Linked DNA regions of Notamacropus eugenii. The main gene of each other region encodes a partner of the protein of the gene in region 2 in a complex. Links are inferred from orthologs where the notes say so. Each region holds a gene or a part of one and is shown on either strand. Other genes may lie near its edges. The genes, in order: FRS2, NTRK2 and NTF4.

Evidence for each region.
Region 1: the proteins of NTRK2 (region 2) and FRS2 are in contact, whole or in part, in an NMR structure (PDB 2MFQ), measured with the Homo sapiens proteins. The link is inferred for Notamacropus eugenii from reciprocal best matches to the Homo sapiens genes NTRK2 and FRS2. Residues at the interface, in NP_001018074.1 of Homo sapiens: Pro498, Asp499, Val501, Ile503, Gly504, Met505, Thr506, Lys507, Ile508, Pro509, Val510, Ile511, Glu512, Asn513, Pro514, Gln515, Tyr516, Gly518, Ile519; in NP_001036020.1 of Homo sapiens: Val26, Asp27, Asp28, Asp29, Gly30, Tyr59, Leu60, Cys61, Leu62, Arg63, Arg64, Tyr65, Gly66, Tyr67, Asp68, Ser69, Asn70, Leu71, Phe72, Ser73, Gly77, Arg78, Ile86, Ala88, Lys90, Phe98, Gln102, Met105, Gln106, Ser109.
Region 3: the proteins of NTRK2 (region 2) and NTF4 are in contact, whole or in part, in a crystal structure (PDB 1HCF), measured with the Homo sapiens proteins. The link is inferred for Notamacropus eugenii from reciprocal best matches to the Homo sapiens genes NTRK2 and NTF4. Residues at the interface, in NP_001018074.1 of Homo sapiens: Phe291, Glu293, Thr296, Ser297, Asp298, His299, Cys302, Pro304, Thr306, His335, Val336, His343, Gly344, Cys345, Asn350, Thr352, His353, Met379, Gly380, Trp381, Pro382, Gly383; in NP_001382418.1 of Homo sapiens: Gly81, Val82, Ser83, Glu84, Thr85, Ala86, Ser89, Arg90, Arg91, Gly92, Glu93, Leu94, Ala95, Asp98, Ala99, Ser101, Gly102, Trp103, Thr105, Tyr135, Phe137.

The regions. Positions count from the first base shown.
Region 1 is NC_092874.1:246,987,019-246,990,763, forward strand, and holds the start of FRS2 (fibroblast growth factor receptor substrate 2), read left to right. Parts: upstream 1-1,583; 5' UTR 1,584-1,719; intron 1,720-3,745. UniProt on the Homo sapiens protein: Adapter protein that links activated FGR and NGF receptors to downstream signaling pathways.
Region 2 is NC_092872.1:75,596,082-75,599,826, forward strand, and holds the start of NTRK2 (BDNF/NT-3 growth factors receptor), read left to right. Parts: upstream 1-1,002; 5' UTR 1,003-1,043; coding exon 1,044-1,255; intron 1,256-3,745. UniProt on the Homo sapiens protein: Receptor tyrosine kinase involved in the development and the maturation of the central and the peripheral nervous systems through regulation of neuron survival, proliferation, migration, differentiation, and synapse formation and plasticity.
Region 3 is NC_092876.1:12,362,427-12,366,171, reverse strand, and holds NTF4 (neurotrophin-4), read left to right. Parts: upstream 1-1,541; 5' UTR 1,542-1,589; coding exon 1,590-1,706; intron 1,707-2,627; coding exon 2,628-2,756; intron 2,757-2,987; coding exon 2,988-3,614; 3' UTR 3,615-3,742; downstream 3,743-3,745. UniProt on the Homo sapiens protein: Target-derived survival factor for peripheral sensory sympathetic neurons. May promote ameloblast differentiation and subsequent reduction in proliferation of ameloblasts.

The DNA.
Region 1 (3,745 bases), on a different chromosome or scaffold from region 2:
TTTTCTGGCACTATCTGTGTAGTCTTGGTAAAATCCTTTGACTTCTCTGGGCCTCAGTATCCTCATTTGTAAAATGAAAGGGTTGGACTAGATGAGGGGTTCTTAACCCTTTTTTGTGTGTCATGGATCCCTTTTGCAGTCTGGTGAAACCTATGGGGCCCTTCTCAGAATATTTTTAAAGCTATATAAAAAAAATAGGATCACAGAATAAATCACATTGTATTAAACAATAAAATCAATACCATAATGATATATTATTATTTAATAAATAATAAGATTTAATAAAATAAAAATAATAAACAATAAAATGCTTATCAGTGTAGATTAATATTAACAATTTCATATAAACTAGCATTAATGACAGTCACTGTAAATTAATGATAATGTTAATAATGATCCATATAGATTAATATTGATTACATTAATCAACAATGATCAACAATCAATGTAAATAATTATTAATATAAATTACTATTAATGACTACCAATGTAAATTAATATCAAGAATTGCTAACTTTAAGGATGATCAATATAAAGTAATATTTAAAATGATTATATAAATCAACATTACTGATGAATATAAATCAATGTAAGCAATTTATAGCATAAATTATTTACTAATGGCCATCAATGTGTATTAATATAAACAACTGCTCATACTAATAAATATGCATATATTAATATTAATAAGGGTTGGTAGAAATTAACATTAATGACCACCTATGCAAATTGATATAACTGCGATTAATAATGACCAACATACATTAATTAATATACATAAATCACCATTGTGTATTATATAAATTTATTATGTTTATTATATAAATCACCATTAATGATTATTAATAGAAATCAATGTAAATAATTAACAAAAATGCCTATTAATGACCACTGGTGTAAACTGATACACAAATAAACATTAATAATTATTAATATGGATCAAAGTAAACAATATAAGTCACAACTAATGGTCATCCGGGTACTTTAATACCAATAATTGTTCATCTGAAAAATATCGATTTATTATCAGTGGATTTAATAAGCCAAACTTGATGACTCATTGTAAATCAGTAACAACTGTCAATACAAATAAGTATGGATAATCAATGGAACTTGATTTAGGGGTATTATTAAATTGTATCAAAAATTTTTCCAAGTCCCGGTCTGCCGGTTAAGGACCCCTGGACTCTGTGATCTCCCTGCAAGGCTCCTTCCAGCTCTAACTGCGGATGCGAAGCCCCAGGTGCGGGCAGGTCCCCGCTGGTACAGCAGTCTCGAGGTCCAGGCCGCAGCGAAGCCGGGACACTCCACGCACGCCTCCCCAGGGCCTGGGCCGGGGATCCCGAGAGACGCCCAACAGGCCGCTCCAGGGTGCCCCCACCTAACCCCCGCGGGCTCGGCTCTGGCCCCGCCCCTTCCCTGACGTCAGGTGCCGGTCCTTCCCAACCGAGGTCCCGCCCCCATGGGGTCCCGCCCATTTTTCCAAATCCCCGCCCACTCTTCCCCAAGAAGTTCCGGTGCCAGACTCCTTCCCTACTCCCCACCCCCTCAACCGGAAGCACTTCAGCTGAGCTTTGGGCCAGAGTGAGGCCTTGTAGCCGCCGCCGCCGCTGCGGCTCCATCGCGGGGGGTACAGCCGCCTCCTCTAGCCGGGGAAGGAGCCCGAGGGCTCGGCGTCCCCTGAGCCGCGCCCCGCTGTCCCGGCGCTCATGGAGCAAAGTAAGTGGCAGGGCCAGGGCGGGGGGTTGGGGGGAAGCGACGCCGTGCCCAGGTTGGGGGATGCAGGGGCCCTGCCTCCCCAGCTCTCCGGCGGCGGCGGCCTCGTCTTGGGGTCTCCCCCAGGCTGGACCCCGCAGGAAAGCTCGGGGCAGAGAGCTCCCACCGGGGGAGCTCCGACCTGGGCCCGGGGGGGCGGGGCGCCTGGGCTGAAGCGGGGATCCCGGGGCTACGTCTCGTGGGAGTTTGGCTTCCCCCTAGGCAAATCAGCAGTTATTCCAAGCAGGCACCAGGCTTTGTTTGTTTTTTCCTCTTCGTTGTATCCTTAGCTCTTAGCCCCGTGCCTCGTACTTAGTAGGCGCTTAATAAATGCCGGTGGCCCGCTGGGGACGGTGCTAAACTTGGGGGATACAAAGAAAGGCAAAAAACAGGCCCCGCCCCCGGGGATCTCCCCGTCTAATTGGGCAGACAACCTGCAAACAACTGTGTACAAACGAGATACGGGCAGTGTAGAGTCGGAGTAGTTTCGGGGGACAAGCAGAACCCCCTTTTTCTCCTTGATCACCGCCACCTTGCTCAGTCTCCTTTCCCATTCGTAATCCCCGAATGGAAGGTGGATGTGGCTGCTTCCCTGATCCCCCATCTTTGAGGCGATGTGTAGCCCGAGGGGACCGGGAAACTTCTGCAAATCAAGAAGTTTTGTGTTTTGGGGTTCGGATCCCTCGAAGGCCTTAAAGGAGATGTTGCGCTTCCAGCTGTCCTGGACTGTCTTCAGAGTTTGGTTCGGGTTGCGTTAAATTTAAACAGCTCCTTTCAGGAGTTTTACTCACTACACTTAAAAAACAGATTTCTTTTTCTTGCGAAAATGAGTAGTTTAGGTAGGCGCCTGCACTTTGTTGTCGAGTTTCTCCTCTAATCTCTGAATTCCTGTGGCTGCCCAAGAATATTCAGTGATCAGCAGAACACTGATCAATGCAAAAACATTCCTCTCGCCTATGTGGAATGAGGTCTAACTGCATTGTCAGATTTTTGTCAGTATAGTGGGTTGGTGTGTATTCCTTAACCGCACTGCTTTGTTTGAAGTGGGGAGGGAGGGAGCCCATGGGGTGAGGTGTTCCTGGAAAGTGAAAGTGATGTTTTAAAAAAATAATGAAGCATTAAGAAGAATCATCTGAGGTGGAAAAAAGAGAAACAAAAAAGTGTTGAGCTTAATCTGTGGTTGATACACTTACTGAAATTTAGGTCAACATTATAGAGAACTTAGAAGTTATGTGTTCGCCTTTATCTTTGTATGCTTTCTATTTGGGCCTGTTATATATGGACTTGTGTGACTTTTCATAAAACTGTTATAAGGTGTGCAAAAACAGAGGTTAACACGAATTGAATAGATGTGATCATATTTTTCATGGTAAATTTCATTTTGAGGTGATGCTCTGCTTTTGAAACTTTATATAAGTGCATTTACTAGAAACTTCTCTGACAGGCAGATTATAGGTGGAAACTGCTTTTGGTATAATTTTAGAGAGCCAGTAAGTTTTGTATTGATTTTTTTTTTCATTTTGGAAGCAAGACACTAGTTTTCAGTGCCTTGGAGATCGTATTGCACTGCAGATCTTAAATATCATGTTTGCATTTAATCTTTAAAGCTTAGCAAATACATTATAGTCTATTTTCTCACTAATTTCAATATATTTCAAAGAATACTGTGAAAAGTCAACAGCTTAAAGACAGATGACATTTTAAAAAACCAACCATTTGCAGTAAATGTGTATATAGTGTTAAAGAAGGAAAATGCAAAGCCCAGTTGAGTTAATGGAAGAAAAGTTAAAAAATCACAAGTTATATAAAAAGATGGAAGTCACAACAGCATTGAGTTCTTGTTTATGAAGTGGAGAAAGAAACTAAATTTATTTCTGTTATGAATCTGGAACAGAAGATTACTGTTGATGTCTTTAAGGAAGGAACATAAGTTGTATGTAGTTTTTGGGGAGGTTTTTTGTGGGCTTTTTGTGTGTGTGTGTGTGTGTGT
Region 2 (3,745 bases):
CCGCCGCCGCTGCCGCCGGACTCCGTCTGTCTGGGTGAGGAGCTAGCTGGCGCTCCTGGGGCCGCTGCCCCTAGCTCGGCTCCTTGCCTGCCCAAAGGGTGACAGCAGGGGGGCAGCGGAGAGGGAGCAGCCCCGGCGGCTCCCCCAGGTAGGACTGCTTGGCGCAGCCACCTGCCCGGGCCGCCGGGGCTGCGCTGCGTGGGGCTCCGCTGCCCTGGCTCCCCGCTCCCTGAGCTGGCACCGCGGCCGCTGCGGATTTTGCAGCATCATCTGGGGGAGATCCGTCTCGAAGCCGCTGCCGCCGCCTTCCGAGGCCGGAGCTCCGCTCTGCCCCAGAACCGCGTCCTCTCTAGCCCGGCATGAAGTCGCTGAGGGGTGTCCCATGTTCTTCAATGTACCTGGGTCTGAGGGCTGCTGGGGATTCAGTGGCCACCCCACGGCCCGCAGCGGGGAGGGGGGGCGGTACTGGAGCATCCCCACTGCGAGTGGCATCGGATCTCCTTTCCCCCAGGGGTCGGGGCCACGACCCACCCCTAGGGGTGGCACTGTGGGTTGGATGGAGTTGTGGGAGGGAGCATGTCCGTCACAAGCAGCGTTGGTCTCCTTCTCCACCTCATCCGTGTATCTGTTTGCCTCACAGCCTCAAGGTGCTGCGGCCATATCTTCCACCTCATATCCTCCTTCTGCTCAAGACTCAGTCCCGCTGTCTTCATCCCGGATTTGGCACAGGCGTGAGCCCCCGGGGGGCAACTGAGTCCCCACCCACAGAAGGCGCGTGGATATGCAACAGCGCCAGCATCTCCAGTAGTGCCCCCCTGTGAAGTGGCTCAAGATGCCCCAGCTGCTCCCGCAGCTTTGAGCAGTGCACACCGGGACCCGACAGACGCACGGAGTGCCGGGAGGAAAATTAAGAACGACCCCGTGGGAACAGGCCGGTCGGGGGCAGCAGGAGGCGCTTGGAGAGGGGGGGCGGGGGGGCGGGGTGGGGGGTGTGTTGGGGGGGTAGAAAACATTTGAGCTCTGGCTGGCTTCAGTGGCTAGGGATGTTGTCCTGGAAGAAGGGTCATGGACCGGGCATGGCGCGGCTCTTGGGTTTCTGCTGGTTGGTTCTGATGTTCTGGAGGGGCTCCCAGGCTTGCCCCACGTCCTGCACATGCAGTACTACTCGGATCTGGTGCAGCAATCCTTCTCCTGGTATCGTGGCCTTTCCAAGGCTGGAACCAAACAGCCCGGACCCGGAGAACATCACGGAAATGTAAGTATTTGCTACTTTCTGTTCCTTCCTTAGCCAAAATACACCTTCCCTGCATTATCCATCACCCTACCCCCAAACTGTGACCTGACAGGTAACCCTCTATTGGTGAACTGCATCCCAAACCTGCATCTGAAACAACTGATTATTAGATCCATCTATCAATAACTTATCCATTTCTTTAATCAAGGATATATCAGGAGAGCAATGTTTTCCCTTTAAAAGGCTTTTTAAAAAATCTATATCTCTATGCCATGTAATATATATTTTCCTCTTCAAGGACCTGTACATTCATTTCATATACAATAGGTGTCTATGCTTGGATTTGCATTACTTTTTCAGATTGTTCTATTAGCTCTTAATAAGCTAGCATGTGTATTAGGCAAAAAAGAAGTTAGAGCAGTGGAGACCCCTGGAAAAAAAGAATTAACTTTTTGAAATCTGTTGTAGGAGGTTAGTATCCCTTCTTTGAGTTTTGGAGTTAACCAGTTTTCATATTTCATTTCCATAGATCAAATTTTGCCTGGGAGATTGTGCCTAGGGACAATTTTGAAAATGATCTGTAAGAGGAGAAGTTCTATGTATTGAAATGCACTTGCTCAAAAGGGAAAATGTGATAGTTGGAAGCCTAAAAGCCTGGTTTGATTTAATTTAGACTTGACTTCCCAGAGATATAATTTTGAGACCATTTAGATTATAAATCTTAATTGCCCATTGAACAATTTCCTGGGAATAAGTTGGATGATAAAACTGTGTTAGTGCACAGATGAGTGTTGCTATAAGAACAGTAACACTAGAAATTTTCTAGTTTTTCGGATTCTGTTGGGAAGCCAGATTATCTATCCCCGCATCCCATTCCATGTTGTCCTGTCAGAAATCACTGCTAAGCTGTACCTGATCAGTCTCTTCTACTACCCAGTCCTTGATCACCTCTGTTAGACTCCTTCTGGAATCTGTAATAGGATCTTTACCCCTTACCTATTTTTTGATTTTTAGACTAAAATTTTTAGATCTCTTGCAAGTAGGGTTTGGGCAGAGGCCTTCTGGCTGGTAATATATATGAATATTTTATGTGATGGGGAGAAATAGTCTTTGAATATCAGTATGGAGTTCTCCTAAATTATTTTTCCTAGGTTGGCTGCTGCTTATTCACATATTCCAAGGCACCTTTATTCTTAAGCTCCATCATAAAGAAAGAGAATTTTCAGGCCTAATTTAGTTGAAGTATTCTGTTAATGAGGGCCAAATGGGAAAGGTTACTTAATACTATAAGATCTCCATTTCTTTGACAGGTATAGTGGACGAAACATAGCTGGAAAGGAAGGCTAAGTAGGCTAGCTATCCTATTGCAGATGCTGTGGAGTTTCTTGGTGTTAGTATAACATTCAAGGTACATGTGCCTTTACCAAAATAGAGTTAAATGTGACTATTTCCTCCTCAAAAAGAGGACAAAAAGTATATGCAATTTGAAAATATATTTTTTTTTCTTGATTCTGGAGTGTCCAAGGGGAAAAGAAGACATCTTGAAGGATCTTGACCTTTAGTTAATATTTTTCAGCTCTTAATTGAAAAAAAGGAGAGAGACAAGAAAGCTGACCAATATTCTATAAGCTTGATTTTCATTGGTATAGAAGCTCCTGAAATGAGTTAATATCTAAAACTTTCTTTTATCCACAATAGTTTTTTTTAATATTAAAGTCTCTTTTAAACAAAGCTATTATGGCTATTATCATTCCACAGAAGCGTTTTACTGATTGCTTTCTATGATTTATTTCCGTTTGGATTTGTAAAAGCCTTTGAAATGCAGGGAAGTGGGGGGTGGGATAGTAAGGACAGCACAGGAATAAAGACTTAGGGAAGGAATGCTTTCAGTTCTATTGGTCAGGTCTGAGGCCTGGAAGTTTTGAAAATTGAGAGAGTTCAATTCTTTGATCTGCTTCCTGATTTTGTATGACCTTGCCTCGATCAGTTAACCCCTTGCTGCCTTACTTTCTTCATCTGTATAACAGTTAATAAGGCTTCTTTGTAAAGTACAATACGGAATCATTTGAAATATATTAGTCTTTGAAAGTAAAAAAAAAAAAAACACACAAAACAGTCCTGAAGGAGTCTGTCTGACCTTCAAAACTTATACCATGTTACCTGGTTTTTCTTTTCACTGGGCAATTTTTCATTTTTATCTCTTAGTGGATACAAGGTCTCATTATGAATTGAGTGACATTTCACTGAATATGTTATTGAACGTCACTGTAGTAAATGTAAAATCATTTTGGAAAAAAAGTCTCCCTTTTTTTAGCATGGTGCTAAATCTCACATTTGACTTTGTGTTGGTGTTGTGATGACAGAAATACCAGGCAACAAAATGTGAGTAAAACCTCAAAAATAAATAACATTATTTTAAAGAATAACTATTTTAGCATCTACAAATGAGAGCAAATATGTAGCCAATACATCCTAATGTCCCAGAGTTGTTTAACACAAGAAAATGAAGAA
Region 3 (3,745 bases), on a different chromosome or scaffold from region 2:
TGTGTGAGAGACATGGGTGTGTATGTAGCATGGTGTTGCCTTTGTGTAGGGTTACATATAGCCCTACTGCATGAGCTGCCAAGGGTCTGTGTATGATTTTATTGGGGTTTGTATAGCTTTTCTGCATGGTGCTAGGTTGATTGGTGGGTTGAACTGTGTTTGGGTCTTTTAGGTTGTATGGTCCCAAGCTGAGGCACTCCCTTGTCTCCCTCAGTCTTTCTCTTCCGGCCTCCTTTGCCCCCTCCTCAGCTACTCTGAGCCACAGGCCTTGAGGAAGTATGACATGGAGAGAACTTTCCAGCCCTCCATCCAAGTGAATCATACATCTGGGTATTGACAATATCCCTAAGTGATACTGGGCCTAACCAGGAGCAACAGGGGGAAATAGAGAGGAGATAAAGACAGGAAAGACCCAAAGGCAGAAGGAGGAGAGAGGGAGAGGGAGAGAGAGAGAGAGAGAGAGAGAAGGAGAGAGGAGAGAGGGAGAAACAGGCAAAGATGCTTTCACAAATTCCCTTCTGGTACTAGGACAGAGCAGTCAAACTATGGTTGGAGTTCGGGGGGGTGGGCAGGGTGGAAGTCATGGAGGCATTGCCCTGGAGCAAGAACTCTAGTGGGGGTAGAGTAGGGCTGGGATGTACCCAGTTCTCCAAATAAACAGCCTTAGCCTCCCCTCCACTGGTGTTGCCCTTGGCTGAGAAAAGGAAGGGGGACCCAGTCTGGGGGGGGGGGCGTGGGAGAACCACAACCTGGGGACACCCAGTTGCCTGCACTGAGCCTAAATTTAGGGCTGGGATGGCCCCCAGGCCAGGGTGTCCAATGTCTGTCACCTAAAAATAGCCAGAGGGGGGAAGGGAGGAGAGGAGTCCCCAGCCTTCTGGGTCTCTTGGTGTCTGTCTGTACCTCCTTCTCTCTGTCTCTCTGTTGTGAATCTTCCTCATCTCTGTGTGTGTCTATGCCTTCATCTCTCATCTGTGTATATGACATATCTCCCCCCCTCACCCAGGACTTCAAGCCCCTTGAGGTCAGGAACACACCACCACATCCCCAGAGCCTGGCTCCAAAAGCTGGCCCTTAATAAATGCTGGTTGAATTGAATTTCTACGTCTCTGCGTTGATCTGTTTCTGTCTCTGCCTGCCTTGCCATTCTGTCCGGCCCACTCAAGCCTTCTCTGTTGCCCTCCCTCCCCCTCTCACTCTCTTCCTTCCCTCCAGAGCTTGGGGCGCCCCCGGGAAGGTTGAGACTGAGCCTGGGGCCTGGCCAGGGAAATGGGGCTCCTGTCTCCCCACTTCTGTCTCTGTCTGGGACCTTATCTTTCCCGGGGCGCCTGGTTTGTGTCTCCCTCTGGGAAAGGCCTGGAATAGGATTGGGGGGGGGGGGTGCGCTGCCCCGACTGACACTTCTCTGGCACAGGAGAGAAGGAAGCTGGGGCCAGGACGCCTGGGTCTAGGAAGGTGGAGGGGGGGTCGGAGTGTCGGGTGGAGGCGGCGCAGGGGGAGGGGAGGCTGAGGCCAGATTCCTCGGCGGTCCGGGTCTCGGAGCAGCCAAGGTGGACGACGTGGGCGGGACTGCTGGTCACTCCCCCCAGATGGGCGGGGTTAGCCTAGCGCCCACCCCCCTGTCCCTGAGCGGGCCGCGCCGCGCGCGGAGCCCGGCGCCAGGGAGCAGCGGCTGCCAGAGCCCCAAGCGCAGGCGGGTGTCCCAAGTAAGGTCCGGGCCGAATGTCGGGAAGGAGGGAATGGGGTGGGATCCAGGAGTTCGGGCCCGCCCTGGGTACAAGGGGGCGGGCCCTGCAGGAGCTTGGGGACAAGACCCGGCGGGGAAACTGAGGCAGGAGGCAGGCAGGGCCCAGCTCAATCTCTGAGCAGTTCGAGGGAGTTACTCAGGCGTACTAGAAGGCTCGAACCGGGATCCGTTTTGTTTCTCTATCCCTTTTCCCCGTTAGCTGGGCCGGGCCTCCTGGGTCGCCAGGGGGCGGGGGCTGAGTCCGGACTCCTGGGTCTCCCAGGGAGGACTAGAAATCGCTCCCACCCTCTCTCTCCCTCCCTCCCTCCCTCCGTCCCCCCACCCCGACTCCTTGCCCGCCTCCGCCCGGGCGGCAGCTCCAGGTATGTGCAACTGAAGTCCTGGGCGGGTCCTGGCCTGTCCCAATTCTGAGGGAACATTCCTAGGAGACGCCTCGGGGACCCAGGAGTCCAGCTCCCGCCCCCTTGGGGTCCAGGCGTCCAACCCCCAATCCCCTCCCCCTTGTGATCTAGGCGTCCCTGCCCCCAAGGGCCCTAGAGTTCCTTGTCCGTGGTGCCCCCCACCAGTACCGCCCCCTCAGGGATCTTGGTGTCCCCATCCCCCCAGCCTGCGCTCCTTGGGGACCCAGGTTTCCTGTCCCCCAGCCCCCTCCGCTGTCTGGGAGATGGATGGGCCGTGAGGGATATAATCTTTTCCAGTCCTTGAGCCTCATCCATCAGCCGCCTCCCCTCCCCGACATCTGCTTCCCATCCCGGCCAGGTTCCCGTCACCTGGGAAGGGGCCTGCGCAGAGGGCCCTGGTCTGGGGGAGGGGATGCCTGGGTCCTTCAGGGGGACACGGGGAACATTTGCTTCCAAGTTTCCCTTCTTTTTTCTCCTAGGTGGTCGCCCCCCTGTCCCTCTCCTGGGATGGCCGGGAGGAGGGGGCCCCGAGAGACCCTGACAAGGGACCCTCAGAGCCCAGGAGCCCCCAGCCCAGGGCTCAGGAGGAGGTGGCCCTGAGAAGTCTGGTAAGCCCGAGACCCTCCCCTGCTGGTCTTCCTTCCCTTTTCCCTCTGTGCTCCGAATTAGAGATGAAAGGGGGCTTAGCGATCAGAGTCCTACGTCTTCCTCTTGCAGCTGGGGGCGTCTGGAGGTCTTGATTGGGCCAAGGATTTGCCCCGCCCTGACATCTCTGGATCTCGAGCCTTCCCCTCTGGCTCCAGGGCTGCCCCACTGACCAGCGCCCCTCTCTTTACCAGGTGGCCACAGAGATGTTTCTCCCATCCAGCCCGCTCCACATCTGGCTCTTCCTCTTTCTTCTTTGGGTCCTACCCGGCGTGGCCCCACAGGAGCTACCACCATTGCCCCCCTTCCCAGGACCTGAGTGGGACCTGCTGTCCCCACGGGTGGCCCTGTCTCGGGGGGCTCCCTCAGGGCCCCCACTCCTCTTTCTCCTGGAGGCCTCCCTGGCAGCAGCCCCAGCCAACCGGAGCAGACGGGAGGCTGGGGCGGGAGCGGAGGCTGGCCGTCGGGGTGAGCTGGCTGTGTGCGACGCCGTCAGCGGCTGGGTGACCGACCGCCGCACGGCTGTGGACCTTCGGGGCCGGGAGGTGGAGGTCCTGGGGGAGGTGCCCGCAGCAGGGGGAGGTCCCCTGCGCCAGTACTTTTTTGAGACCCGATGCAAAGCGGCTGGGGGCCCGGGAGGCGGGGCAGGCTGTCGTGGTGTGGACCGAAGACACTGGGTATCGGAATGCAAAGCCAAGCAGTCTTACGTTCGGGCGCTTACTGCAGACGGGCAGGGCCGAGTGGGCTGGAGGTGGATCCGCATTGACACAGCCTGTGTGTGCACCCTGCTCAGCCGGGCCACGGCTGGCGGGCGGGCCTAATTCCTAATTCGCTGTATGACCTTGGGCAAATGCCTCCCCACTCCCTGGGCTCCGAGGAGCTCCCCTGGCTGACCGGGGTTCATGGAAGCTCATAGCCGAGAACTTCATCTCCATTCAAATTAGAGATCGCC